7 linked regions of the Rattus norvegicus genome follow. The protein of the gene in region 2 interacts with the protein of the main gene of each other region in a pairwise test. Links are inferred from orthologs where the notes say so. Each region holds a gene or a part of one and is shown on either strand. Other genes may lie near its edges.

Region 1 (5,038 bases), on a different chromosome or scaffold from region 2:
TAGGGAGGAGGAAAGCACAAGGACTGCGGTCCAGAACAGTGAGGAGCAAGCAAACACGAGGTCAGAAGCTGTGACACAGAGGTTCGTGGAGACAGAGGCAAGCTGCTTGCTTGTCCATGCTTTAGTTGTTCAAAGTTATTTCATCAGTGAACCAAATAATCTGCTAAGTCTTTCCAACCTAATATCCAATACAGCCCTTTTATAATAAATATCCATTTCTCTCATATCGCACCAAGACGGTGATCCCTTTATTAGAAATTAGAAGCCAGGCACTGATGCCTCATTTCTGTAAACCTAACACTGCGAAGCCTGGGGGATGAGGAGGGGCTGCAGAGATCTGAGCTCAGCCTAAGCTGAACAACCCAGTGAGTTCTGGGCTAGCCTGGGTTAAAAAATGTAATTAGAATTAGGATAGAGGGGAGTAAGAGTGAACTAGAAGGATGGCCAAAGGACATCTATGTTCCCAGATCTGTCCCTTTCTAGCCATAACTGTGGGCAAACCCCTGCACCTCAAAATAAAGTTCTAGACCGACCCTTACTTGCCATGGTCTTCATTCCTCCATCTTCAAGTAGACTGACTTTTTCCCCATCATAACGAGGATGTCATTCCTAACCAGTACCCGTTTTTACTTCATCCTTAAGCAAATACAAGCAGTAATGTTGGGGCTGGAGAGATGGCTCCGCAGTTAATAGCATTGGCGGCTCTTTCAAAGTACCCCAGTTCAATTCCCAGCAGCCATATGTCATCTTCCAACCGTCTGTAACTCCAGTTCCCGGAGCTCTGGCACCCACACGCAGACAGAAAAGCGGGCAAAACACCAAATACGTAAAATTTTTCTAAAAATCATTTTTTTTAAAATACTGATTTTTTTTTCCCCTCAACTTTCTGGTACTGAAAGACAGTCCAAACATATTTAGCTCACCCTAAATCTGCATTCGAGCCTGGACCCTCTCCTCAGAATGCACTGAGTAAACAGATTTGAGCAGTATGTGCTGTAGCAGTAAACTTAAAAAGACACTCGAAAGCCTGAGGGAGACAATATATAAGCAAATCATTAACTCCCAATTGATGAAGTACTCAGTGCAGCCTGGCATGGTGCTACTGGATCAGTGAAAACAAGAGATGAGATGCCCAGACGTCAAGCTCTATCACTCTAGTGGGAATGCAAGGTGTTTACTAGGAAGGCCATTCTGGAGCCAGGAAACAAAGGAAGATGCCATCTTCAGTAAACTGCAAACAGTCCCAGAGAGAGGACCTGTGTAACAGTAGATGAATTGAGAATGCAGACAGACACCAGAAACTGGGAAAGACTGAAGGAATGGAATTGGAACCATGAAATTAAAAGTCTCTTCTTCCCCCACATAGTAAAAGCAATCTGGCAACCAGCAAAAAAAAAAAATCTACCTGAGGGAAGGTAAATAAAAAAAGTTCCTGGTCCCAGGACAGCTCCTAGCTTTCTTGTTATGGCATATTAAACAGGACAAATTACAGGTTAAGGGTTCTAAGTGTTTTTAACCTAGAGATTGAGGCCAGTGTTGTTGAGAACAAGGAAGAAAACCACCATATAAGAGAAGGGCGATGCGCTCTAACAAATTAAGAGAGACAAACATTAATAAAGTCTGGAAAGAAGACTGACTTCACCCATGCAAACCACTTATTAATGTTTACATCCTTACCAATTATAGATTATACATTATAATACCTACTTTATACTTATCCTCCTCATTCAATTTGTTTAAAGTTTTTTAAATCTAAATGATGATACGCTGATCAACTGTCTAAATACATATATTCCATTAATACTTAATGTTCTCGATAAAAAAACAAAATGCTTTATCAAACAGCTACTCTGGGAAAAAAAGGAAATGTTCATTCTCATTCATAACCGCCCTCCCCAACCCTCTGGGTTTTCTTTTGAGACAAGGTCTAAGTAGTTTTTGCTATTCTGGAGTTTGCTCTATGGGCTAGGCTAGCCTGGAGCTCACAGAAATCCACCTGCCTCTGCTTCCTGGATGCCAGGATAAAGGCGTGAAGCCTCCACACCTGGTTTCTCCTTAAGCGAAATAGGACACTCCAATCTTGGACAGCAAAGAATCTGTGCACTAGGAATTTCCATTGCTAAGGCCTACTTTATGATCAGCAAACCTAATTGGCTAGGTAGTCAGCAAAGATGAATTTGCAATTATTGAAATTCAAAATCAGGCTTTATCACCAACGACCACCCCAAATGGATTACCCCCTCCCTTTACTTTGTCAAGAAAGTAGGTACATTTTAAAACTGTATAAAAATAGATGTCAAAAGAGGGAGAGGAGGGGGAAAAAGCATCTGAACCTACAGATACGGTGTAATCCAAAGTTCTCATGTGTTTTAGGGCGTGTCTTTGTTTTGACTCAGTGATTTCAAAAAAAAAAAAAATCCCACTCATTCAGGGCTCTCAGGTACTTCCCCTTACCAACGCGAGCATCTAGGCTTTGAAATCCCAGGGCATCTAAGCCTCGCCCTGATTTCCCGGTGCAGGAAGGCTGCAGCCCGGGTGTCCCGCGGTCCCTTCCCGTCTCAGCACCACCGAGCAGGGGCATCCGGCCTGCCCGCTGCACCGCAGGAGGCTCGGGAGAGGGGGCGGGGGCTCCGAGGGTCGTCCCAGAGCACCGACGCCCAAGGACACCCGGCCCTCGTTCCGCCCGCGCTGCGCCCGGGAGCCAGGTAGCCTCCAGCGTCCCGAGACCCCGGCCCTGACCCCCGACTCTCACCGTGCGGAGGTCGCGCTGCCTCCTCGGCCGCGGCCCGGCTGCGGGTCGCCCAGCGACCTGCCGGCCCGAGGGTAGGAGAGAGGCGAAGGACAGTCCCGTCACATCCCCGTCCGCCCAGCTGCCTGCTCCGCAGCAGCCAGCATCGCCTCCACGGCCTGCGGGAGCGCCGGACTTCACCGTCGCCGCGCCCCCTCCCTTGGCCGGCACCTCCTGGACTCCGCCCTCCAGGGCCCGCGCACTACGCGTGCGTCGCCCCGCCTCCCGGACAGTCCTTGCGCAGGCGCGAGTCTCACTGGGCTAGGCCCGCCTCCGGGCCCGCCCCACCCTCGCGCCAGCCGTTCCCAGGCTCCGCCCTGATCCACTGACCTTGCATCTTTGCCCCCTGACTCAGGTCTTTTCTGGTATGAACCTTTCACTCCAGTCTCTTGGCCGACCAACTCAAAATGGCCCTCTGGATTCAAATGTGCTGCTTGACCACGACCAAACCTGTCAGCTCCTGCTCCAGACTACTAGGAGTGATCTGAAGCAACCATGACTTTGTTTTGGCCTGTCTGTGGCTATGCCTCAGCCAGGCATACTGAATCTGAGCAGAGATTGCGATAAAACGCTGAGAGCTGAGAAAAGGAGCTATCTTATGAGGGTGTGGATCTCAATCCCATTCCATAAATCATCTCTCCAAGTCATTGAGAGTTACCGTGCAAGCCTGCAGTATCTGGCTATCTATTATAAGCGTTGAAAGTGATTATTTATCTGACCCTAGACTGCCTGTTCCCCTCACTAGCCCCAACAGCTCAAATGAAATTAATAACATTGAAAGAGAACTTGGAAAGGCACCACCTCTCCTCCAGACCACTAACATAATTACGCTGTGATAGGGGAGGAGACACTTGTGCCCCTCCCTTAGTCCATCAGACTGTTGGAACATTATACTCCAAATAATTTAAGAAAATAGATAATTCATCCTGGAGAAATGAAAACAATACCGAAGGCCTAGCGCCGTCCGGAGAAGGAGCTTGCCTCTCAGGAATTGCAGCTCTGAGGTCTCAGATCACTTCGCGAGATAGCCTTGAGTGAGCTGAAACAACGCTAGGTCAGCAATACCGCACCGTAACCTAGCGGAGTATTCAATTTACCACTATTTCTAGCTCTCTATTTAAACTTAAACTTCTTGTCAGTACTCCTGAAGGCGGACTTGGTGGTAACTGGACCCCTTTTCTTCCTCCAATTCCCTATGTGGCCATATTGAATAGCTCTCTTTTTTATACGTTCCATTATTACTTGTCTCTTTAATTGGCCAATAGAATAATGATAGGGAGACTTAATTTTGTGGGTGATAAAATGTTGGAAAAGACTAGGGTTACATGTAGTACATTTCTTTGTAGATTAAGTAAATCATTAGGAGAGCAAAGCCTCAGACCTCTGAAATACAGGCTCCAGCACAACACTCATGAATTTATGCTATGCTTTGAACTTTATGCTACAATCAAAGATCAGTTGAGAGATGGGGAAAAAGGGGCTCTTCACAGATTGTCCTTGGGAGCTACGCAAGATGCAACAGGTCCAATCCGCTTTATAAAGACTCTGGGAGGGGGGAGGATGATCTTTCAGTTCCCCAAACCAAGATGAGCTTTGCTTTTCTGAACCACTTGGCTGTTGTCTTGTGACTCCCGGAATATTTGAGGTAAGCATGTATTTTCTTTGGCTGTTTGACGTGGTAGGTCATCACTTCCCTTTCTTCCACAAAGGTAGGATCCTCACAGAATGCTTGCTACATATGAATTTTTACAGGCTTCATCTCATTTTCTGTGTTCCCGTTTTTGTCTTTGTCCCAATTTTCTCACTTCCTTGGTTGTCACCGTGCTTCTATTTCTATTAGGCACTTCTTTCAATGTATGCCCCCAGGGTTTTAATTTACAGGACGACTGAGATGACATGGTGAAGTCAGTGTTCTGAAAGATTATTTTCATGGCTTACATTTCCTGAAAGATGGGATGCCATGTCATGTAGGGGCATATGGAGTGGCACTGGGTGTGTCTGGGAGTAAAGGGAAAAATCCAGACCAAAGCTATTATTGGAATGTATGTGGAATAGGAAGGTAAAGACGCAGGGATGTCTTGAGAATGGCTAGCGTAGGTAATGTCAGAGGATTCTAAAGCATGGATACCTCTCGAGTTGTTTGATAAATGACGGTGGGTTATTTAGATCAGAGAGAATACTGGCTTGGTTTGTGGAAGTTAGACAAAGGGGCAGTTGTAGTTATGGACTTGAAATTGGCCAGAGGCTCTA
Region 2 (4,239 bases):
TACGCCGGATATGCCGGATATGCCGGATACGCCGGATATGCCGGATATGCCGAGAGGCCAACTGGATGGAGGCACTTCCTCGGTTGAAGTTCCTTCCTTCCAGGTGACTCTAGTTTGTGTCAGTTGACAAAAACTAACCAGAACAGCCACTGCACAGCAGTATGTCTTTCTCAATTAGGACTACTTGAGTATTCTGTGGAAATCAATCATGACTGTATAGTCTTGTGCACTTCCAAAGAATTGAAATGTAGACTCAAATGCACTTCAGGATAGGACAGTAATATATTCTAACATATTAATGGTCTATAGGCTACAAAGATAAGGGGGAGGGGAGGTCAATAACTTTCAAGGAAAGAAAAGTTAGAGACCATTACTTTGAAGAATGGGGTATTTTAAGGGATAGGACTTGACTTTTCACATCATAGTCATATAAGAGAGGGGTAAAATTAGCAATGTATTCAACGTACGTCTGAACAAACAGAGCTTACATATCCAAGAAGCTGACAACCTGAACTGGTGGGCTGGCTCAGCAGGAAAAGGCTGACAATCTCACAACCTGCTGAACGTGGTGGAAGGACAGGACGCTCCCACCAATTGTCTGCTAACCTCCACACGCACGCCACCATGGCACATGTGCCCCACCCCAATGGAATAAACTAATTTTAAGTGAAAACTTGTATTTATGATGAAAAGGAGTCACTTTACTATGTACAAAGTTATCCAAGAGCACTGGCAAAGTCCCACACGCCAGCAATGAGGCCGAGTGTTCAGTGTGGCATCCACACCAATCAATGCATGATCCGAAACGGCTACTCCCAGGCTCAGCATGGAGATTCCCCATTTTATATCCATCTACAGTAAACACACACCAAGATGCTTACATAAATGAAACAAACACACAAAAACCCAGGACACAGACAAGCCAGCAGAGAGAAGTCTGTCTGAGCCGTGCTGGGCATTGCTGAGTGAACTTCACGGCGCATGTCTGCAAAGCTGCTGACCTGTGCACTTCTTCAGACTTCCCAGAACGTTTCCTCCTCCTGCCACCCCAGGATCAGAAACCACGTACTGAAGTTTAAAAAGACACTACTTTCTTTTCAAATACTCCTCCCTCTTCCTCTCCACACTTGTCAAACCACTTTATACGTTTCCCTAAATCCTGTGTGCTTCTTAGGAAAAGACTACCTTACTAAAATTTTTTCTTACCAGAAAAATGTACAGATGCCACTACCATTTTGTTCTTCTTTGTGCCTTCTGCCAAGCAGGCGTGACTTGTGGAGTTCCGCAGAGGTCTGACAGTTACATTGGTGCAGGCCTTGCTCTGAACCACCCACCAATGCACGGTGGGTGCGCTGCGGTGCCCACTGTGCTACAAAGGCGCACAGCAGTGACCAGGGCATAGCTGGCCAGCAGGGAAGTGGAGGAAGAGAGGGAGCGCTAGTGACTGTCACAGGGTACTGCTGACAACTGCCTTGAGCTGCCAGGAACACAGGTAGCCCTTTAATGGGATTACTGAATTATGCTATGTCCTCGTAGTTTGAGTACAAACAAACAAAGGTATAAAGCTTATATCCTTAAAACTTTATTTAATCACCTCAAAATAAGGTGAGTAATCCTGTCTCACTTCCTTTATTTGACCCACAAATGTCCAATACCCAGATTGGCTCCATCAGCTGCTGACTCCTCACCCTATTCGGGAGGATTAAAAAGGAAGCCTCCCTTACAGACATCACACATGCTTTAGTCTTACCAAAACAATGACTATCTTAGAGACTTAACTCACACAACCTATTACTGTGAAATCCATACTGATTTATAGAATTGTCTAGTAAGTATATTTAATTTAAATAAAGAAATAGTATTAAGGTCAGTTTGTTCTAGTTTATGTAGTTTGAACACAAACATAACTGTAGCTTTAATAAAGTAAAAAAGTGGTCCCAGCACATGTACATAGTTTTATTATTGTTGTAAGTGGTCTAACAGCGGGGCTGAAGAAGTAGAGATGAATGCATTTTCTACTAGCAGGTGGCAGATCTACAGCCACAGAAAAGCTTAGATCACCTCAGCACACAACGCTGTGTGTAACAGCAAAGACACTGCCTGAACACAAGAGAAAGGACTGTGGAAAACATACTTTGATGGCATCTTTGGCGTCTACCACAGCAAGGTCTCGCAGGGCCCAAGCAATCTGCCTTTTGTAGAAATCTCCCTTGTCAGATTTCTTGACTTTGACCACCTTCACCTGCACGGGGCGTTCAGTTGTCACTGTTGAACAGAGCACACAGACACGACTGTTAGCATGAGTCACCTACTCACTCTTCCTGTAAATGTGGCTCTTGGGGGCCTGGACAGAGGTCAGAGACTCCTAAAGGAATCATCTGAGTCAGATTAGAGGGCTGGAGGCAGAGAGATGCCTGAGAGGTACAGCTGCAGGCCTCTTTCACAGAGTGCAGGAGGAGAAATCTAACGACTGACACATTAAGTCCCTAGAGTCCTGAAAGCGCCTCACACCATCACAAAGAGCAACAGTGGGTAGTCAACCCTGACAGCACAAAGAAAGACGAGATGGCCAGGAATGAAGTCACTACAGAGGATGGGTGCTCAGCTTCTCAAGGACTGCGGTGGAGGTAGCAAGGGACGCCATTAGAGAAGTTACATGCTCTAGTTTCTACTTTCAAAACATGACTGGCAACAGAATGGAGTTTGGATCTGAAATGAATGCTGATACATTTAAAAAGCAATGGCTTTCCAAACAACAAACAACAAACCCCCAATACTCTCTTAAAGACCTTAACATACCCAAACGGACTAAAGGAGAGGTCCTCAACCTGGGGGCCACATAAGACCATCGGAAAACAGATATATAAAAACAAAATTACAGTTACGAAGCAGCAAGAAAAACGTTATGATTGGGGTCACCACAACATGAGGAACTGTGTTAAAGGGTAACAGGATTAGGAATATTTGGAAAAGATGTCCACTAAACTGCACTTGCTGGGCAAAAATGTGTCATCACCCCACCTCCCCACACTGGTCCAGCACTGCCACCTGCTTCTCCTGCAAAGTTTTCAAGAAGAGAATAACTCCAAGCACACAACCATTCTAGTGAGAAGGCAAGGGGCACGCACTGGTTATTTAATAACTATGGCTAACCAGCTGAAGGTAGCAAGAGGAAAACTACACACAAATAAAGAACATGGAAGCAAAGTCTTAAACCAGTATATTGCTAACAGTGTATTTAAAAAAGATACAATTTTGTTTCATCATATCTTACATTATAACTGGTAACAGCACACAGACGTAAGAATACCTTGTAACAAATATAAAAAGGTGCAAAACTTTAAAAAGAAAGTAGCAAGGCTTACCAACACAGAAAATAAGCATATTCATGGAAACAAACATCATTAAAAAACGCAAGTCCCTACAACTTAAATGATAGCTTAAAAGCAATCCCGACCAAAACACAATAAAATCTGAAGTATCTAGTACACATTTTTGCTGAATAAACACCGACCTGTGGCACACAGAAAACAGTTCTTTTTCTTTTTGCCTGCTTTGCAGACATTCACGATGCTCAGCAGGCGTTCGTCGTTGGGCGTGAAGATGTCTCTCTGTAGTGCGTGCTTGATTGCTGTCATCTTCTCTCAGCTGAAAAGCATTTAGGAGAAGGTGTTGAGCTAATTCACAAAAGCACCGCCCCCCTCATAGTGTTCCATTTATGACTCGAATGATAAATTCTTAATAAATACATAAACATATTAATACATCTATAACATAGAAGCATGGAGCTTCAAGTTTGGAAATGAAATCAGAGAAACCAGTACACACACACACACACACACACACCCATATATACATATATGCAAGCATACACACAGAGACACGTGCAAAAAGCCAATAAATATAGAAAAAATGTTCGGTATAGAGCTGGGGCGACAGCTCTGTTGGAAAAGTGTTTCCTAGTAATTGGAGGACACAAGTCCAATCTTGTTAGTTTCCAGAACTCATTTAACAAGCAGTGCATGGGGAAGCCTGCCTGCAACCTCATGCTGGGGAGGCAGAGACAAGCAGATCCCTGGAGTGCACTGAGCAGACAACTTCACCTATGGTTGGAGCGCCAATCTGGTGAGAGACCACGCACAAGAAAAGGGGGCGTGGATGGTGCTAAGGAAAAACATGTGCAGCCGCCCTTTGCCTATTGCAAAGATGCACACCAGAAACCCAAAAGGTTTCATACCA
Region 3 (3,159 bases), on a different chromosome or scaffold from region 2:
GCAGTCTCTAGTTTGTCTAGTTGGTCCTTAAGACATTCTCTTCCTCCCTGCCATAACCAAAGGAGAGATCCCTTATCTTCGAGTCAGCATGGAAGAAGGAGAAGGACATCGTTTCCAAGGAGATAGAGAAGCTCCGTGTGTCCATCCAGACCCTGTGTAAGAGCGCACTTCCCCTGGGAAAGATCATGGACTACATCCAGGAGGATGTGGATGCCATGCAGAATGAGCTGCAGCTGTGGCACAGCGAGAACCGGCAGCATGCCGAGGCCCTGAGCAAGGAGCAGAGGTGGGGGCTGCGGCCAGGGTTTTTGGGGGGGGCGGGCTTCAGAAAGGGAGGGGTGGGAGGCGGGGCTTCAGGAAGGGAGGAGTGGGGGTGGGGCTTCAGGAAGGGAGGGGTGGGAGGCGGGGCTTCAGGAAGGGAGGGGTGGGGGCAGGGCTTCAGGAAGGGAGGGGTGGGGGCAGGGCTTCAGGAAGGGAGGGGCGGGGCCTGAATGAGACACTGACGAACTCAGAATTGTGACTGAAAGGAATAGAATAGCCCCTGGAGACTGAGATTATTAGAGAGGTACCTTTTATATGACCAAACGTGTAGACTTTTTTCCTTCAGAACATGTTATTGATTGAACGATATATCCATAAGTCCATGTTTCATGAAAGCTGAGTTATATTGGGTCTACTCTTCCCTTCCTTCCTTCCCTCCCTTCCTTCCTTCTGCTTTTTTTTTTTTCTTTTTCTTTTTGTCGGAGCTGGGGACCGAACCCAGGGCCTTGCGTTTGCTAGGCAAGTGCTCTACCACTGAGCTAAATCCCCAACCCCTCCTTCTGCTTTTTGCTTTTGTTTTGTTTTGCTTTGTTTTGTTTTTTGAGGCGGGGTCTCACAGTTTAGCCTGGTGTTCACTCTGTAGACCAGGTTGGCCTTGAACTCACAGAGATTACCTACCTTGTGAACATGTGATTAATGGTATGGACCAGCATGCCCAGCTAAAATTGTACTCTTTTTTTTTCCCCCATGTTTTCAAAATAATTTTATAGTAGAATTATATTCCTTTTCCTATTACCCTTCCTCTAACCCCTCAGATTGATAGCAGCTTTTATCATTGTTGCATACAGGTACATATATGTATGTGTATGCACAAATACATAAACACACCACCTAAGTCCTCTTATGTTGTGTGTGTATGGTGTCAGAGCTGACCGATTTTTATTGAACAGCTAATTTGGGGGCTCTTTCTTACTAGTCTGTTATATTAAAAAGTCCTACACATTTTAAAATATGTCACATGATGGAACGTAGGAAATCACCAATAGTATTGATGGTGATTGCAGCATGTACCGTTAGCCCAGAGAGAGCCTCCCTTGTAAAACCTGATCCTGCTCTCCTGCAGCAAAGTGTGTGTGTCGGGTATGGGTGTCTTTGTGTTGTATTAAAAGCCTGAACGGAGAGTGATGTTTGGCTCCAGCATTTTGAGGTATATTCTGTGTTGGGTCCAGTGCTCAGTCCAGCAATGAGGAGGTCACCTGTCCTTGCTGAACACATGAGCCAAGGACCTGGGTAGAGGGAGTCTGTCTAAGCCCTGTGAGCCTTATACTGAGGAGGTGTCTCCTGGTAAGGAGGCACTGGTTCAGGCTATGTTCAGTGTCTGTGGGACCTTAGCCGTCCGTCCACTTTCTTGCTGCCCCAGGGTCTCTTTTGTGTACTTTAAGGACTTCAAGCCTGTCACCAAGATGCTCCTTTTCACTTTACGTTTTAAGGGCTAGGGAAAGAGCTCTGGGAGAGTGCCTGCCTAGCATGTGAAGCCCTGGGTTCCCTCCCTGCTTCCGTAGGAAGTAAACGAATAAGCCATCAGCACCTCAGGCTGGATTGTACTCTAGGCCTGCCAGCTGCAAGGGGTACCTGTTTGCCATTCTTAGGGGTCTGACACGTAAACCCTTGCCTTGGGGTGGAGCCAGCCCTTTGCTGTTCATGGCCTCTGGGCTGGAGTGAGAGGCACAGACAAAGCTGATGACACTCACTGGTTGTTGTCCACCAGCATCACAGACAGTGCGGTGGAGCCCCTGAAGGCTGAGCTGTCTGAGCTGGAACAACAGATCAAAGACCAGCAGGACAAGATCTGTGCGGTGAAGGCCAACATCCTGAAGAATGAGGAGAAGATCCAGAAAATGGTGCACAGTATCAACCTGTCATCACGAAGATGAGTGGCCAGCACTGCAGAGATGGAACCATCCTCCTCATGATGGACAAGGGGGCAGGAACCGCCCCACTGAGCCCTGTCTGCTAAGACGATGGCCTGCTGTGCCCTGACCCAGCTAAGGTCAGAGCTTTCAGTTTAGGCACTAAACTATTAAAAGGCTGTGTTTCCCTCCTTCCAGCTGCGGTACTCACTGCTTACAAATAGCCCCCAGCTCGCCTTTGTGGGAGGGCTTCTTTCTTTGTTTGTTTGTTTTTTTTTTGTTTGTTTGTTTTGGTTTTTTTTTTTTTTTTTTTTGCAAATACGTTTTTTCTGCTGCAGCCTGTTTGACCCTATACCCTAGTTTTAGCAGGTAAGTTGTCTCATCCTACTGGGCAAACAGCAGGCTTTTGTTTCTGCTTTTGTGTTTCCCAGAAGGACTTCATACTGGCATGGAGCAAAGGACAGCTATGTATTTTTGGTGGGTATTTTATAAATAGAATGAGGCCTAAAATGTTTAAATTGCCATTTTATTTCTACCTGAAGGGCGTCATTTCAGCCCATGTCCTTGTAAGGTGCCTGTCGTCTGTGTGGGGTTGCTGCCCTCTTACTGCACAGGCTTCTTTCTGCAGCCTCTGCAGATTTGCTGTCTGCATTTCTATCCCTTAACGCTCATAGGCTGAGAAGGAGGATTTAGCATAGCCTCTATGGGCATTGTGTGATGGGAACCTGTCACAGGCTACCACTGAGGCTTTCTGCAGCCCCCAGCAGCATCCAGCTCACTCCTGATGGATGAGCAGTCCCCTAGGCCACCTTAAGAGGACATTGTCGCATGAAGAGGTAGCATGGTCCTTCTCCGTGAAGGCGTGCTCCGAGAGTTGGGAGTGAGGAGAAACTGTGAGGAAGAGAGTACACCAATTTACAATTTGTGTTTATTTTCCTTTTTTAAAGACCCTTTTTTTTTAAAGTAAAGTTGTTTTTTTTTTAAATGG
Region 4 (3,631 bases), on a different chromosome or scaffold from region 2:
TAGGAAACAGAGCAGATGATCTCTACTGAGTAGGAGGTCCTGTAGTCTCTTAGCTCAGTCCATTCTACTGTTTTCCACAATGCATAAAGATAGAGTTGTTCTCCTCCCGCTTGGCCCTTCATTGTTAAATTCCACTCAGGTCACAAAAGACATCCCTGGGCCTGTCTTTTATAGACAAACCACCCAAGATTGGAAAACCCAGACCTAGGACTTAACCACAAAAGTGTTTGGGGCCAAGGTACTTCAATTTTTTTTTCTGAATTCTGGTTTGTCAATTCTCCAAATTCATATAATAATATGTTTCCATGCAGGAGAGGTCTGAAGACTACATGAGATGAGATTTGCAAAAATGTCTCCCGTTGGAAGTGCCTGGAAATGGAAGCCATTCTTGTTACTATCATTATCAGCAATACCGCTTCTCAGAATAGAAGCCATTAACTAAACTTGGTGTTAGAGATGCCAGTCCGGAGAGCTCTAAATGAGAAGGATTTGCTTGTTAGTGTGAGAATTAGAGCACCCAGTCTGCTGAAGGGAGAATAGTATCTCCTTAAGCAATGCCCTCTATCAACAAGATATTGACAATTTTAATTCAATATACCCTATAATCTCCCTTTCAATTTGTGGTCTCTTCAGTGGATTTCACTCATCATTTCTGGAGCCAAAGGTGTCTTTTGATGACACTGGTCTGTCTTAATCACCCTCAGGATACATTTCTCTTTGGTGTCTCTGGAAAAAAATTAGTTATGTTCAGTGAAATCAGAGGGAAAGCAGGCCCAGCAAGGGCAGAATAATGACCTCACTCTCTCAGCCTCTCCTGTCAGATCACCACTGATGCTTTGCTAACCAGTAGACTCCTAGAGCTTCCCGGTCCTCGGACATTCTCTGTCCTGTTCCATTCGGTCTGTCTTAGTGGCTATCCCTTGAACTGAGCACCCAAAGCAATTTATCTTGGTATCGAATCCAAGTGGCTACAGAGAGCAATTATCTTCAGCGATCCATACCAGGGGAGACTCCGTTACTCGGTCCCTGATACCATGACCCAAACATCCCTGATTCCATCACCTGTACACTTGTGTTTAGCCCCTTGACTCCAGAGTGGTGGGATAAACAATAGTAACACCATCACACGATGCAGAACAGCACATTTCAGAAGCCGAACACATCTCCTTGCATGCAAACTGAATGTGGCTTGTGCTGTCGCTGACAAACTTGTATATAGCAAGATGTAGTCCTTAAGCCCGTCCGTGGCGGTGTCCAGTCTGTCTTCTGCATGCAGGAGAAAGGAGTGGTGTTTCTAAATGTCTGTGCTCTGCTGAGATGGAATTCTGTTTTGCTAGACCTCACACTAAGGAGAGGAGACAGACCGGGCTGGCTGTCTCTGTGCAGTCATCACTTGCATCAGAAGACACGGTTCTTTGTAAGATGATGTTTGTACTTGGGTTGGAAATCACAAATTCCCTGCAGCATAATTATGTCTCAGGGAAGCATCTCGCCCAGTGCTGTCACTTTACAGAGAGAACCTAATGTCTTCATTCAAAGTCAATGTGCTGAAAGATTAGCGTCGTTCCGGAGTGAGCTTCACTGCCTCGTGGGAAGCAGAAGGCTCGGAGTCCAGTATCTCATCATATATGCTCTGGGCTTGACCTAAGTGCTTCTTTATTGTGACTTTCCAGTTAAATCATTTTGTATGAAATGCTGCTGAAGTCGTACTGTACATGCTAAGTGCACAGCATAGCTAGTGCACCGTGGGAGCTTAAAGGCTGTTTGGGCCCAGTCTTTGGTATCGTCTGCTACTGCAGCTCAGTAGCAGAAAGTCATTGATAACAATTCTCTCTCAGCAAGGCACAGTAAACAAGGGACTGTCATGAGGGGTGGCTGTCTCTGCGGGGGGGGGGTGGGAATTTGGGAGAGCAAAGCATCTAAATCATATGTTATTGTGGGAAGCACAGACACACAGAATATAAATACCACATAGTATATCTAAGGCTTTAAGGTTTTCGTATGAAAAGGGTTACTTAGAGCAAAAATGTGTTTTTAAGAAGCTGACAAAAGTGGAGTGGGGGTGTAAGGAGGTTACACTGGGCCTGGTGGGACAGGCCTATAGTCCCATCTTCTGGGAAGGCAGGAAGACTGCAAGTTTAAAGCTTGCCCGGGCTATCATGGAAGTCCGAGGCCAGCCTGGTCAATTTGGTAAGACCCTGTCTCAAAATAAAAAGTAAAAAAGAAAAAGGTCTGGGGTAAAACCCAGTGACAGAGCACTGGCCTACCACACGCTAAAGGCAACCCCCAGTGCCAGAAAGCAAAGGGGAAACGCAGCAAAGGGGAAACGCAGCATGGTTCATGGAGCTGCAAGCAGGAGATGCAAAATGAAAGCAAGCGGATGAGACTCCACTTTCCTTTTCCCACAGAACTGAAGGAGGGATCACAAAAGGGGCCACTATCGGGGTCCTCCTCGACTTAAACAGAAAGACATTAACGTTTTTCGTCAACAATGAACAGCAAGGCCCCATAGCCTTTGAGAATGTGGAGGGCCTGTTCTTTCCTGCCGTCAGCCTGAACAGGAATGTACAGGTAAGCGCCTGTCCCCAGGTCTAAGGGCTTGCTCAGGCTGCTGCTTCAAAGTCTGCCCCTCCCCCAACCCCCAGCTCTAAGAGGGAAGCTGGTACAAGGCCCAGAGTGAGACACACTACAGACTCCTTCCCACGTGGCTGCCACAGTCTAGTTAGCCACCCATGGGAGGCAGAAGCCACCTCTGCCCTATTTACTGTTGGTTTTGTCTCTAAGGGCTACTGAGATAACACCTACCCGGCAGGCACCAGGAATGCCTGAGAAGAGCAAACATTAGACACTTCTCGGCAGCTGCTTCTCATCCTTCACTCTGCATTGTGCTGCGGGCTGGGAAGCAGCAGCCCTGCCTGTGAATTAGATAGCTGCAGTTCCCCATAGATTCAGAACAGGTCCTTCCCTGACTCAACAGACAGCTGCAGGGATCCTTTAACCCGCCAGGCTCCACTGTAAACATTTGCTATCTATCGGTGGGAGAGGAAAGCAGATACAAATCTTACCTTCCTGAAGTTGTGTGCTAGCCACAGACGATAATCTATGTCCACGGGGTGTTATTTATAAGGGACGTTAGAGGGTCCGAGTATGGTAAAGGGGTCCACGGTGCTGGGGATATGCTAAATAAATAGCCTTAAGCAGGGTGGTCAGTCAGCCGGTCTTCGGCTGTTTATCTGAGTCCTGCAGGAGGGAAGGTAGCAGGCTGTGTAGATTTCCAAACAGAAGGCACAGCCCAGACTTAGACTTTTCTAAGGCACGAGCGGTTTTGGGTGGGCAGAGAGTGGTAAAGAGGCTAGTGGGCGAGGGCAGGGAGCAGACAGAGGGGCCTTCAGAATATGCAAGGACTGTGGGTGACGTCCTGCCAACCACTGTTAGAATCCAGGGCTTCACTGCCCTCCTGACTGGGCCTCTTATTACTCCATATAAACCTCACTAACCTTAGAATGGGACTTGAGAATCAAAACACTGTAGAGAGTTCGTGCCCTAGCTACAGCCACGGTCTTTAAAACTCTCTTAAATTGATTACTGTCTATGAGCAGATGTAGGAAAACTGCATACAATCTGAGACATC
Region 5 (4,939 bases), on a different chromosome or scaffold from region 2:
TGAAATACTTTAACTTTACCCACTTATAATAATAATAATCATACAAATAATCAGATCTGGTGAGCAAATAGTTACTTAAAAAAATGGTGGCCACTAAGAAAGTTCAAACAACCTTAGCATCGATGCACAGAAATTACTAGGAATTGGAGGCTATCGTGTTAAATTATTTTGACCTAGGAAGGCAGGCAGGGTGCAGGCAGACAAGGGAGGCTGACTAGCCCTATACACTATCACTATTGCCACTGTATGGAAGATTTGAAAAGTTTACTCGAAACCACCAGCATCTGCCAGGAATTCACTGGACACACAGACCAAGATAATCAAGCTAAGAACCAGAAAGCACGCACGTAACAGCTTCTAGAGAACCAAACAAACTGAATGCCCAAACTCAGGTTTCTACACTAAAACGCACTGTAGAACCCCTCAGGTAATTACCTTTAATTCACACAAAGTTTATGTGTGTTATTTCAAAGCTCACAGTAGTTCAAAAAGCAGGGAGAAAACCAACAGTACACAATGAGAAACTTACAAAGTACAAAACGTAACCAAAAACAAGAAGAAGCTGAGTGCTGATGAGCTGCTTAGAGCAGGGGCAGGAGCCAACCTAAGAGTGAGCACAGAGAACCTTTCCTATCTCATTAAATCCTTCAAGGGACATGGCATGGGCATTTACTCCCAGCACTCAGGTGGCAATGGTAGGGGGGTCACTAAATTTGAGGCCAGACCCTGGTTTACAGAGTGAGTCCCAGACCAGGGCTACAAAGAAAAACCCTACCTAAAAACTAAAAAAATAATTATTTTAGAAGGTTACTTAAGTCTTACCTATAGGGTTGTGTCTGACCCAGATGCTTACTTCTCTAAGGATATTAAGTCTTACCTATAGGATATTAAGTCTTACCTATAGGATATTAAGTCTTATTTATAGGGTTGTGTCTGACCCAGATGCTCGCTTCTCTAAGGATATTAAGCTACAAGAACTGGGAGCTCCAATAGCTTAACTTGCAACAAGCTTTCTAAAACTCCCTTCCTACTCAAGAGCTTCAGTTCATTTTTAGAGAAAAGTTCAACATTAAATAGGAAAAAGTATATTATGTATCTTAGCGATACTTCATCCTATTAATAGGATATCTTACGGTATATTCTTTCAGACTTGTATTTTCACTACACACACACACACACACACACACACACACACACACACACAGTTTTCCTGGTGTGCTTTTGGGGAACATGGGCTTGATGTGTTGCTCAGACTGTATTTGAATATGAAATTCTTCCCAAATGCTGAGATTACAGGTGTCAGCCATGCCACTTATTAAAATACGTTTCTTTTTGCCACAAACACTGGGCCACAACTCACACATGCACTTGTCTCTTGTAACATCTGTCATTCTATGTAAATAATACTTGTTTGCAGCTCTGATACTATGTAGCAATTAGGTTATTTTGGGGCCCTCAACACACCTTCATCTGTAGGAGGAATAACATGTACCTCATGGAGTTATGAGGTTTAAGTAATCTACATTAACTACTAAAGAAAAGGTGAGCAGAGGTCCAAGTCCATGTTCATTTTTACAGCTGCACAGTAGCCTGGGAAGAATGCATGCAGCCAACTCTATCGGCCCCAGAGTGTGACCATGGAAGCAGCACCAGGGCTAGCAAGGCAGTTCAGACGCGCTTGCCTGAGCTCCATCTCAGAATCCAGGTTAAAACGACAGGTGTGCTGGCACACTCTGGGAAGCCAGTGCTCCGAGGCACAGGTGGATTCCCCGGACTGGCTGGCCAGAGAGCCCAGCCTATTTGGTGAATCCCAGGTCAGGGGGTCTGTTGGAGAGATGGCTCAGAGGTTAAGAGCACTTGTTTTTGCAGAGGACCAACCAAGGTTCAGTTCCCAGCACCCACATAATGACTGACAACCATGTATTACTCAAGTTCCTGGGATCCAACACCCTCTTCTGGCCTCTGTGGACAGTAAACATGCACACAGTATACAGACACACATACAGACAAGACACTCACACACATAAATAAATAATAATATTTTTTAAATAGTAAAATGAAAAGGGCAATGCCTGAGTAATGACACTATGGTTGTCCTCTGGCCACCACACGCACAAAAGCCACACACACACACACACACACACACACAGAGAGAGAGAGAGAGAGAGAGAGAGAGAGAGAGAGAGAGAGAGAGAGAGAGAAAGTGAAGAGAACGGCGTAACTAAATCTTTTTGCATCCTAAATCTTCTCAGAATATGTTTCTAGAAACAGAAAGCTGGGTCGTTATATTTAAGCACCCAAACTGCGACCTTTCTTGAACCATGGGCTTTCTAGGTGTCTAGGAACCATAAAAGTAAAGCCGTTCGTGCTCCATCCACTGATACTCAGAAAGACTGGGGAGAGATTCAACAGAAGCCCTCCCCTACTGTCACTCACACCCTCAGCGCTGAAACCCTGAGTGCCGGGAAGGATTAGTTTGTTTCTAACACGAACACGCCCCCTTTTCCCAACCCGGAACCATACTCCATACTAAAAAGCATACTAAAAAGCAATGGCGGTCCTGAAAAGACGCAAGAACACGGCTACTACCGACAGGCTCCGTGCCCGTCCTGTTCAGCGTCTGCCTCTGCGCCCTGTCCGCCATCGCCCAAGTTATGCGAAGTGACTAACTCGTGACAGGCTTGGTCGCTGGACCGCCGCCCTCGGCTCCTGCGAGCAGCCTGGCCCGGGAAGGCTCAACTCAGTGCCTCAATCAGGGTTTGGTTTGGAAGCAGGAGACTTACAGGGACCTGGCTATTCCGGGTGCAATGTCCAGTGAACACGGAGGGGGACCTCGGACAGAGGTCAGAGGTTAAATATCACAGAGGACCTGGGCTGCCCCACCCCCGTCACCACTCTAGAGTCAGGGTCCCTTACCCGTAAGAGAAACATCCCACGCAGGACCGGAACCCATCGCACTCATTTCTCAGATCCTGTCGGTTCTTACGGGGAAAACTTAGGGGTCAAATGTCGCGACGGGTCCCTTCGCCCTGCACAGGGACGGAGTTTGGTTGGGAGAAACCAGGTCAGGGTTCCTACACGACCTAGACGGTCCAAAACCTTCCTGGCCTAAGGTTTGGGGGTAAAGCCCCGGGGCGGAGGTCAAAGGTCACGGACGAACTTTACCCCGCCCTCCGAGCCTTGGCGCAGGGGGACAGCGTACCTGAGCAGGGGCTAGCGCCTGCTGCAGCTGCTGCTGCTCCTCGCTGATCTTCTGCTTCAGCTTCTTGAACATGGCGCGGCGAGGGGTCGGCGGCGTCTCTACCCACGGGGAGGCCGGGCCCGGGCCTCGCCGCCTTCCTGTGGAGCTCGCGGGCACCTCGGGGCGCTTGTCGTGCGGGTGTCGGCGTCGCCGCCGCCGCGTCTCTTCTTTCTGGGTGCCCCTGGCTGGCCTCGGCCCCCCATCCAGCCCCGTCAGCGGCGGCGGCGGCGGCGACAACGGCAGCAGGTGAACGCGCCCTAGGCGCCTGCGCGGCCGACGTGGAGCTTGCCAAGGGCCTGCTACGGAACGCCACGGTGGACAATATGGGTGGTGTGGGTGAACGCGCGTGCACCGTAGCTCCCGCGCTGACGCTAACTGAGGTCTTGGAGCTGTGGAGTCAGATAGGGAGCATCGCGCCACTGAGCACCACAGTGAGGAAGGCAGGGGTGAGAGGGGATAGAGCTAGAAATGCAGGAGTGTATGTATTCAGTGTCGCTTGGCACAATAATTTAGAATTCTCTCTAAGGGTTTTTGGATAGTGGATTGTCTGGTTGATTGGATGGATGGATGGATGGATGGATGGATGGATGGATGGATGGATGGATGGATGGATGGATGGATGACTAGTTGGTTCGTTGGTTGACTAGCTGGTTGGTTGGTTAGTTGGCTGGTTGGTTCGTTGGTTGGTTGGTTAGCTGGTTGGTTGGTTAGTTGGCTGGTTGGTTCGTTGGTTCATTGGTTGGCTAGCTGGTTGGTTGGTTAGTTGGGTGGTTGGTTGGTTGGTTGGTTAGCTGGTTGGTTGGTTAGTTGGTTGGTTAGTTGGTTAGTTGGTTGGTTAGTTGGTTGGTTGGTTAGTTGGCTGGCTGGTACGTTGGTTGGTTGGTTAGTTGGCTGGTTGGTTCGTTGGTTGGTTGGTTGATTTGTTGGTCGGTTTGGTTGGTTTAAAGAGAAAATCCAGGGCTGAGGATGTGGAATGCTTGCCTAGCATATGCAGGAGGACTTGGATCTAGCATCAGCACCTCATAAACTGGGTGTGGTTGTGTACACCTGTAATCCCAGCACCTAGAAGTAGAAACAGTAGAACCAGAAGTTCAAGGTTGTTCTTGCCTATGTCATGAGTTAAGGCCAGTGTGAGCTACAGTGAGATCCTGTCAAAAATGTAAACCAACAGTCTGGCTGTGTCATGCAGACGGACCTTGAATTTGTTTGCTAAATTGATTTTCCTGCCTCCAGGATGCCTGAGGTCTACAGGTGCACAATTTTCTACCTAGTCAGAACTGTCTGCCTTTAGTGCTTAGTATTGTGACTGCACACCAAAGTAGACTTTTCCATCTGTCAGAGAGTCTTCTACACTTGCACAACAAAGAATATTTCTGTGACCTCTGCTCATGAAGACTCATATCTCATATGATATTTCAAAACTCTAGGTCTCATCCCCTACCTGGATGACATCCATTCCATTCTGATTCTTTGGACTGAACATTAAGAACTGGTGTGGCGGGGCGCACACTTTTAATCCTATCACCTGGGAGGCTGAGGCTAGTTGATCCCTGTGAGTTCCAGGCCAGACAGGGGTACACTGCATAGTGAGACCCTGACTCAGAGAGAGAGAGACAGAGACAGAGATAGATACAGAGAGACAGGGAGATACACAGAGAGACAGAGAGAGATAGAGAGAATACCAGATCTCACAGGTTT
Region 6 (4,239 bases), on a different chromosome or scaffold from region 2:
TCATCTTTTCTTCAGGGCTGCACAGAGGAAATCCCTAAGGTACCATGGGTAACCAAGTGATTCTTTGGCACATGAAGTTCTCAGTCTATCCTGACCATAGCAAAAATGATACATCTGTTCTCTCACAGTTACACTCCTTTCTTAGTGTTGGTTCCACTAGAAAAGCCAGGCAGAGAGCACAGGCCACTGTGAGCACTTATTGATCTTTGTCATGTTTATTTGCATTTACTTCTCAGTTGAGACAAAATGTGCAAATAGGATGATATACACAAATTCCCTTTGGCTTCTTCGTCGATTGAATCCAATTGCAGAGTAGACCCAATAACTGTGAGCCCCATCAGTGCCAGAATTTGATACACATTTGTTAAGAAAACCCCTATCTCCTATGGCTATTGTTTTCCCCAACCATGGTAGATAGTGATAAAATGCTTTTAGGAGGTACCCAGAGTCCAAGATTGATTTATATATTTATCTTCTCAATCCTGTCTCCTAGAGATAAGGCTGTAAATGCTCATGGCAAGTGGACCTCGAACTCCAGGTGAAAGATTACTACTGCCTCTCCCACAGTGCCCCAATTGTCAAGTCCTAAATTTTACCTAAACCACAGACAGCACGCAATCCCAGGGGCTGCTGAAGTAGCAAGTACTGGAAATGATGCTCTCACACACTTTCTTTACTCAAGAAGGATGTCATAGAACCAAGAAAGACACGTTTGATTCCTATTTAAAACATAATTTCAAATGCTTTTCTAGACACTTATTTCCCAAGTAGAAATCACCTAATTTTACCCCTTTAATTCTGTGTACTTTCAATAAAAGAAAAAGACATTCTAAAGCATAGATTTTTTCTTTATCTGGATGCAGTATCTTTTTAAAAACAACTGGTGGGTCTGATTCACAAGTAAATCATCACAAAGGCAGTATTCAATTTTGAATGCTCTGTCTCCACTCATTTTGAGTTTATCTGCATTGGAATGGGAAAAGTTTCTCTTGGGCAATGCACAGATAGATATATATCGCTGGAGTCTGACCCAGTAAGCAAATTTGCCCCCTGAGAGAGGAACTCTGACTTTTCTTTTTTTTCTTATTTTATTTTATTTTATTTTTTTGCACTGAAGTAAGGGCATGCAAATGGGTGTGTAGGGAGAAGGCACGAATATCATGTGATGGGATAGCTGGACAGTCATATCCCAGAAAGAGGGACTCACCTCTGGAACACAGGACCAAAAGTCACTAGCCACTAAGGAAGGTTATAGCACATTTGCACACACAGTGTGCTAACTACCATTCACTTTTAAAAACAAACTGTGGAGGTTCCCATTAAAAGTAATGTGTCCAAAAGTTTTTTTTAAAAAACAATAAATAATGCATTGTCTTGAAGTGCCAGGTTCATTTTGTTCCAGGAACTGGGATATTTCATAATAAAAATAAAGTAGAAGCCAGAAATGAAGCAATGGCAATTCCTTTATAGAGAAAGCCTAGGCATGAGTCATGTGGTCCTTGGATTTCATTCGTCCCTACTTCCATCCTGCCCTTATTCCAGCTGTGGAGACCCAGGATAGCCTACCGTAGATGGCACATCACTCTGGGCACTCTAATGCTCAAAATAACTCAATAGTTCTAAGATTATTAATGGTATGTACCCATCTTACAAACTTTAGTTAACTTGGTAAAGTAATTCTGAAATCAAAATAACTTTATTTTGTAAAAACAGTTCCAATAACAAACATTTACTATTTTGCTAAGTATGTATATTTTAAAGTAATCCTCAATTTGGTCCTAAATTCTTGTGAAATTCTCATTAGAGCTTAAATGAATGAGTCAGCCATCCTAAATACTTTAGCAAATAAGGAAAGCATTTATAAGAGAAAACAACGTGAGCTCTCTGATGCTTAATGGGCACCTGCACTGATCACTCCATAATGCACACATTAGCATAATACAATGAATGACCTTAGTTATATTTAGTCATAAAGAAATTTAGTGTTTATTTTTCCAGTTTACTACAGCTAGGAGTAGATCTGTTTGGACTATTTTTGGTTGGATATATGTACTTATAATGTCTTTCTGTTTCTTTGAACTTTTAAACTCAGAGGCTCACTGGAAATCTACTATCCGGATGACAGGCCATCTGATCAAAAAGCTTAGGCAATGTCAGTAATATCCAAGTAATTCTATTTTCCTAACAAAAACAATTCTGAAAAGTGCAAGCTAATTACTTAGAATTTTTCTTCTGAATTTTTAAAATATTTACCCCATTCAAGCACCTGTGGTCAGCAAGGTATGACAGCACACACTTTTAGTCCCAGTGCTTGGGAGGTAGGGAAAGATGGATTTCTGTGAGTTCCAGGCCAGCCAGGGAAACCTAGTGGGACTTTGTCTCAATCACAAAACCAAAAAGCAAAAACAAACAAACAAAACCCAAAACTGAAATTTGTGGATGGACCAAAATTATACCACATAAAATATTCAAGTTGGCCTATGCTTTGAATAAAAAATGTATGTTACAGAAGTCTTCATGATGATAAGATATATGACTGGCTGGTTTTGCGTCAACTCGATACAAGCTAGTGTCATCGGAGAAGAGAAAGCCTCTGTTGAGAAAATGCTCCCATGAGATCCAGCTGGGAAGCATTTTCTCAATTAGTGATCAGCTGGGAAGAGTCCAGCGCATTGTGGGTAGTTCTATCCCTGGCTGATAGTCCTGGGTTCTATAAGAAAGCAGGCTGAGCGAGTCAGTAAGCAGTACCCTGTTATGGCTCCTGCCTCAGCTCCTGCCTCCAGGATCCCGACCTGTTTGAGTTCCTGTCCTGACTTCCTTCAGTAATGAAAAGCAATATGGAAGCTTGAGCCAACTAAACCCTTTCCTCCCCATCTTGCTCTTTGGTCATGGTGTTTTGTCACAGCAATAGAAACTCTAACTAAGATGGTATATCTTTAAAGTGTTTCCTTAAAAGAGTATTTTCTTTGCCAATGTGAGTAGCCAACATATGGGGAAAACAAACAAACAAAAAAACAAAAGAAGGATCCATAAGAGAGTCATGCCCAGTTTAGTTGGGTCCTCCAAGCAGCTCACTCATTCATGAGCATGTGAAACCTGCATAGCTGGCATCCCTGTGCCATGACTCGAAACTTATGGATTTCTGTCTCCTAGACGACACAGGTTGTCCCAGCAGCCAGTCGGTATCCCCTGTGAAGACTCCCTCAGACACTGGACACAGTCCCATTGGCTTTTGCCCTGGAAGTGATGAAGATTTTACCAGGAAGAAATGCAGGATTGGGATGGTTGGTGAGGGAAATATCCAATCAGCTCGTTATAAAAAAGAATCCAAGGGAGGCATCATAAAGCCAGGTAAGTACCCTTACTAGTCATCTTTAAGACATTATTTCTTTTATTTTTTGAGATTAATATATGAGATTATAAAACTAAATATATGTATATGTAATTAAATTGTATATGTTTTATATATAATTGAGATATATTATCTATATAATTAAATATGAGATTATAATATAATTAAATTTCTGCTTTCCTCTCCTTGCCCCAAACCCTCTCATCTATGTCTCTTTGCTCCTTTTCAAATTAATGCCCTTTTTTTTCATTAATTGTTGTTCTATACATATGTTTGTCTATATACATATATCTAAGCATATCTGCTTAGCTGTATAATATTATATGTGTATATGTTTTCAGCGATGACCGTTTGGTATTAGATAATGAGTTGGTGTGTTCTTCCTTCAAGGAGATATAGTGCAGTCAGTGAGATTTCCACTAAAACCTGCCTATCAAATCAGAAATGATGGTACCCAGGACCCAGACAGCTTTTTAAGGGATGTAGCAGGTAGAATAAAATATTTAATGCAATAGTTGCTGGTAATTAAGTACAGTGTGTAACCATCATAGACAGGTGGTTTTTTTTTTTGTATGTTTGTTTGTGTTTTAGAATCTGGTTTATTAAGGTGTGTGAATCCTGATTAAATGACCCTTGACCAAAGGCATCACTAGAAACAGACCTTCTGAGTTCATTGTTCATAGGCACGAACACTACCTAAGAAATCTTTTGTTGATCTTTTTACTTGCATTTTCTCAGTCATGTATGTACAGTTTCAAACATTGTCATTGTGAAAGTCCCCTCTGCTTTTGAATGGAGTCCAATTCTGTAAATTCCTTGGATGAGAAAAATTGCCTACATTGTCTCTGAACTTTGGGCTGAGTAAGCCTGTCCGCCTCATAAATATA
Region 7 (4,239 bases), on a different chromosome or scaffold from region 2:
CAGTGAATGTGTGTGTGCATGTGTGTGTGTGTGTGTGTGTGTGTGTGTGTTTGAATGTCTGCGTGTCTGTGTTTCTGTCCCTGTCTCCATCCGTTGGTCTGTCAGTCTATCCACCCTGAGCATGCCTGTTGGGGACACGTGTGCCTGTTTGTGCACAGGTAGATGTGCGTGTGTGGGTGTGCTCACAGAACATCAGGGGATATCAAATGTCTGCCTTAACATTTTTGGCCTTATTCCCTGGAGTGTCTCTGAACCTGGAACTAGGCTGCAGTCAGCCGTCCCCAGATCCTGCTGTCTTCATCCTCCACAGTGCTCGGTTACAGGAAGGCAGGGCCAGACCCAGTGGTTTTCGGTTTTTTGTTTGTTTGTTTGTTTGTTTGTTTGTTTGGTTTTTTGTTTGTTTGTTTTGTTTGTTTTTGCTTTTTTGTTTTCCCTCTTATTTTGTTTGAGTGCTTTGCCTGCCTGTCTATCCCCTGTTCCATGCAGTAATCATGAAGGCCAGAAGAGGGCCTCAGATCCCTTAGGACTGGAGTCACCAATGTCAGGGAGCTACCACATCAATGCTGGGAAAGGAACCTGGGTCCTCTGCTTTTCACCCTAATACATGCTAGTTGTGAATGTGGGTGCTTGGGGATGTGAGCTCTGGTCCTCACACTTACACAGCAAGGGCTCCAGCAGCTGGGCCGTCTCACTCACTCATCAGCCTCTTTCCTGCCCTGCAGCGAGGAAGTCTGCAAGCGAGGGTTCACGGTGATTGTGGACATGCGCGGCTCCAAGTGGGACTCCATCAAACCACTGTTGAAGATCCTGCAGGAGTCCTTCCCCTGCTGCATCCACATCGCCCTGATAATCAAGCCCGACAACTTCTGGCAGAAACAGAGGACGAATTTTGGCAGTTCCAAATTTGAATTTGAGGTAACACTCCAGGTAGTCACATCCTAAACTCACAGGCACAGTCTGTGATAAGCCAGTGCATCCCCACCACAGTGGGCTGATGGCATGGCAGGTCTTTACAGCCAAGCCTTGAGTGTGGCCTAGCTAGCCGCCTTATGTGTGTATGGTAAACATTGGTTAATGCTTAAAGTAGATGCCTTCGTCCCTTTTCCCCGTGTGGTGGCTTTTGGCACAGGGGTTTGGACTTCAGTTCTTTGGGATTAGGGTGTGGGGCCATGGTAGCTTGGAAGGAGAAGCCTGTTCTCATCACCTCACTTGAACAGCTCCCCCTGTCAGCACTGGGCCGAGTGACTGCAGATGTGTGGTGACTGCTGCATCCTGGGCATGAGGGAATATGAGGGGCATTGAGCCCATCTGGTCATCGATAGTGGGGAGACTCCTCAGCCACTCTACATGTCGTCTTGTAAAAGTGTACGGAGTCTTTGAGAACTGTAGAGCTCTGCATTCAGCTGGGCCTAGACGATGGCTGTCAGACGGTTATAAAAAGTAAACCAAAGCCTGCTAATTTATTTTCTTTCCCACTGAGAGCCGCCTCTCCTTAAGCCACCACAGTTCTGACAAGGCTTTTGATGTGGTCAGTTTAATGGGATGATTAGAGGAGAAAGTATCCCAGCCGGCTTGAAGCTTGGCTCAGGTCCTGTTCTGTAATAGGACAGGGATAGTTTCTCGTTATAAATTATAACCGTTCCTGGTGGACAGAAAAGCCTGCTGTCCTGCCGTCTCTGCCGTGATATTAGGCTGTAAAAGATTTCGGTGTAAAAGAATCGTGTTTTAAGGTAAACAATATTCCACAGTGAAACAACATCAGTTGTACTTGTCAACATGTCTCCTCCTGTGTACTACTTGGATTTTAAAATACCTTCCCACAATGCTGAGTTTCCTCTCTGGAGTTAAACTCTGGCTTTATTGGAAACTGCTTTGAAGTGGTCTAAGTGAAATAGAAAGCACACTTTATCCTCATACTCAATAAGTAGTCATTTTGGAAGATAATTTACTGGCTCTTAGTATTTGCTTAGTGGAAAATTTAAAGTGTAATGCATTTTAATTATACATGTTTTAAACAAAAAAAACCCCAGTAGTTTGCATTCATATAAGTATTTACTGATGTTACTTATTAGTCTCTTACTCTGGGCTCCTGAAGGTGCCTGCCTGTTTTCCTCCTGACCTGGTTGTCCCTGTGTGGTTCTCTCTCTCTCTCTCTCTCTCTCTCTCTCTCTCTCTCTCTCTCTCTCTCTCTTTCTCTCTCTCTCTCTCTCTCTCTCTCTCTCTCTCTCTCTCTCTCTCTCTGTGCGTGTGCGTGTGTGTGTGTGTGTGTGTGTCTGCCTCCATGCAGGTTACTGATGATCCAGCAGATGGATAAGAAAAAGCCCATTGTAGCACTGTAGGCTAAAGGCAGTGCAGGCTTGAGCTGCTCTTTCCAGCCTGTTGCCATGTGCTGTTTCTTAATCCAGCCAGCACGGAGATGTCAGTTCTGAGTGTGCGTCAGAGGTGGCAGAGGTTGGGTAGCGGGTCTGTTTTTCTTTCAGTTCTAGACCAGCTAAGTTTCCCTTGTGTTCGCATTTCACACACACACACACACACACACACACACACACACACACACACACACACCCCAGTGTGCTTCCTTTTCACTTACCTCAGATGAGGTTGAGAGTTCTGGCTTAGACTGGGATAAACTGAAGCTTCCTTAGTGTTAAATTGGGTTGCAGGACAGGCTGTGTACAGTGGTTAGGCTGTACAGATGTGTGGCAACCCCAGGGAAGCTGGCATTCCCAGTGTCTTTACCCTGTGAAAACATTTTCAACAACTCTTGTGAGGCATTAATAAGACTACGATTTAGGTTTTTCTCGTTCTTCAAGTGAAATCCAGTTGACTTGGAGCTTGTGAAAATTACAGTTCTATGCTGCTGGGCATTCTCCCTCACATGCTACTTCCGTGGAGTTTTTCATTGCATGGATAATGAGTCTCCCTCTGTATTCCGGGAGGCAGAACCAGACATTGACTGGGTCTTTGTACGCAGGTTATTCTTTACTTAGGGAACCTCTGTGTGACCACTGTAAGTTATAGGATGTGATCACATGGTTCATCTTCTCATACATGTTTCTTTCCTCCCCAAGACAAATATGGTCTCTTTAGAAGGCCTTACCAAAGTGGTTGACCCCTCCCAGCTAACCCCTGAGTTTGATGGCTGCCTAGAGTACAACCATGAGGAATGGATAGAAATCCGAGTAGCTTTTGAGGACTACATTAGCAATGCAGCCCACATGCTGTCCCGGCTAGAGGAACTTCAGGACGTCCTTGCAAAAAAGGAGTTACCTCAGGACCTAGAGGGGGCTCGGAACATGATTGACGAGCATTCTCAGCTGAAGAAGAAGGTGATCAAGGCTCCCATCGAGGACTTGGACTTAGAGGGGCAGAAGCTGCTTCAGCGGATCCAGAGCAGCGAGAGTTTTCCCAAAAAGAACTCAGGCTCGGGCAATGCAGACCTGCAGAACCTCTTGCCCAAGGTGTCCACCATGCTTGACAGGCTGCACTCGACTCGGCAGCACCTGCACCAGATGTGGCACGTGAGGAAACTGAAGTTGGACCAGTGCTTCCAGCTGCGGCTGTTCGAACAGGATGCTGAGAAGGTAAAGGTGGGGAGGGCCGTGCAGCCCGACAGGGGCTGCTGCTGGGTTGGTGGGTCTCACAGCCAAGACTGACGTGACAAGGTGAGAAACCAGAAGGTCTATGTTACAACGATCACACCACAGCAAAGGCCATCCAGAGACCTCGCTTACATCTGGCTTCCAGTTTTACTCACAGTGCAGTGCCTGAGGCAGTGTGAGCTGAAGCTGCCGATGCTTCTGTGAGAAGTGCCAGAAAGGCAAGGGTGATGTTGTTGTTGTTAAAAGTACAAATTCATGATTGTATTCTTTTTTTTTTTTTTTCGGAGCTGGGGATCATGATTGTATTCTTAAAAGCAACAATTTAATATATAGATTTTCTGGTACCTTCCCGCTCTTCAAACAAAGCCATCAAACCCTTTCAGACCGGTACCTGTGTCCTTAATAACAAGAGAGTGAGGCCATTAAAAACACGTTTCTCTGTGATCCAAGCAGTACTGCTCCGTGTTCTCATGTGCTATTCTTGTGCGCTAGAGACAGCAGCTGGCCAAAGGGAACGCCCATTCATCAGCAGCTAATGTATTCTTTGCAATGTCAAAGAAAAGGACACTTGCAAACAAGCCATGAGCATAGGTGAAGTAATCCCTCTTAACTTACAGTCATTGAGTTTTCTCTTTTC

The links.
Region 1: the proteins of Exoc1 (region 2) and Ccser2 interact in a two-hybrid assay, tested with the Homo sapiens proteins (2 studies listed by BioGRID and IntAct). The link is inferred for Rattus norvegicus from reciprocal best matches to the Homo sapiens genes EXOC1 and CCSER2.
Region 3: the proteins of Exoc1 (region 2) and Traf3ip1 interact in a two-hybrid assay, tested with the Homo sapiens proteins (2 studies listed by BioGRID and IntAct). The link is inferred for Rattus norvegicus from reciprocal best matches to the Homo sapiens genes EXOC1 and TRAF3IP1.
Region 4: the proteins of Exoc1 (region 2) and Trim9 interact in a two-hybrid assay, tested with the Homo sapiens proteins (2 studies listed by BioGRID and IntAct). The link is inferred for Rattus norvegicus from reciprocal best matches to the Homo sapiens genes EXOC1 and TRIM9.
Region 5: the proteins of Exoc1 (region 2) and Golga4 interact in binary tests that used the Homo sapiens proteins (3 or more experiments, as listed by UniProt). The link is inferred for Rattus norvegicus from reciprocal best matches to the Homo sapiens genes EXOC1 and GOLGA4.
Region 6: the proteins of Exoc1 (region 2) and Sybu interact in a two-hybrid assay, tested with the Homo sapiens proteins (2 studies listed by BioGRID and IntAct). The link is inferred for Rattus norvegicus from reciprocal best matches to the Homo sapiens genes EXOC1 and SYBU.
Region 7: the proteins of Exoc1 (region 2) and Trio interact in a two-hybrid assay, tested with the Homo sapiens proteins (2 studies listed by BioGRID and IntAct). The link is inferred for Rattus norvegicus from reciprocal best matches to the Homo sapiens genes EXOC1 and TRIO.

What each region holds. Positions count from the first base shown.
Region 1 is NC_086034.1:12,743,036-12,748,073, forward strand, and holds the start of Ccser2 (protein FAM190B), read right to left. Parts: upstream 2,969-5,038; 5' UTR 2,753-2,968; intron 1-2,752. UniProt on the Homo sapiens protein: Microtubule-binding protein which might play a role in microtubule bundling.
Region 2 is NC_086032.1:32,007,358-32,011,596, forward strand, and holds part of Exoc1 (exocyst complex component 1), read right to left. Parts: intron 3,649-4,239; 5' UTR 3,639-3,648; coding exon 3,515-3,638; intron 2,266-3,514; coding exon 2,135-2,265; intron 1-2,134.
Region 3 is NC_086027.1:99,554,147-99,557,305, forward strand, and holds the end of Traf3ip1 (TRAF3-interacting protein 1), read left to right. Parts: intron 1-62; coding exon 63-286; intron 287-2,029; coding exon 2,030-2,195; 3' UTR 2,196-2,368; downstream 2,369-3,159.
Region 4 is NC_086024.1:94,495,479-94,499,109, reverse strand, and holds part of Trim9 (E3 ubiquitin-protein ligase TRIM9), read left to right. Parts: intron 1-2,408; coding exon 2,409-2,571; intron 2,572-3,631. UniProt on the Homo sapiens protein: E3 ubiquitin-protein ligase which ubiquitinates itself in cooperation with an E2 enzyme UBE2D2/UBC4 and serves as a targeting signal for proteasomal degradation.
Region 5 is NC_086026.1:127,084,417-127,089,355, reverse strand, and holds the start of Golga4 (golgin subfamily A member 4), read right to left. Parts: upstream 3,275-4,939; coding exon 3,203-3,274; intron 3,030-3,202; exon of another isoform or gene 2,932-3,029; coding exon of another isoform or gene 2,917-2,931; intron 1-2,916. UniProt on the Homo sapiens protein: Involved in vesicular trafficking at the Golgi apparatus level. May play a role in delivery of transport vesicles containing GPI-linked proteins from the trans-Golgi network through its interaction with MACF1. Involved in endosome-to-Golgi trafficking.
Region 6 is NC_086025.1:77,770,470-77,774,708, reverse strand, and holds part of Sybu (syntabulin), read left to right. Parts: intron 1-3,153; coding exon 3,154-3,351; intron 3,352-3,471; exon of another isoform or gene 3,472-4,239. UniProt on the Homo sapiens protein: Part of a kinesin motor-adapter complex that is critical for the anterograde axonal transport of active zone components and contributes to activity-dependent presynaptic assembly during neuronal development.
Region 7 is NC_086020.1:80,412,757-80,416,995, reverse strand, and holds part of Trio (triple functional domain protein), read left to right. Parts: intron 1-722; coding exon 723-915; intron 916-3,071; coding exon 3,072-3,584; intron 3,585-4,239. UniProt on the Homo sapiens protein: Guanine nucleotide exchange factor (GEF) for RHOA and RAC1 GTPases. Involved in coordinating actin remodeling, which is necessary for cell migration and growth. Plays a key role in the regulation of neurite outgrowth and lamellipodia formation.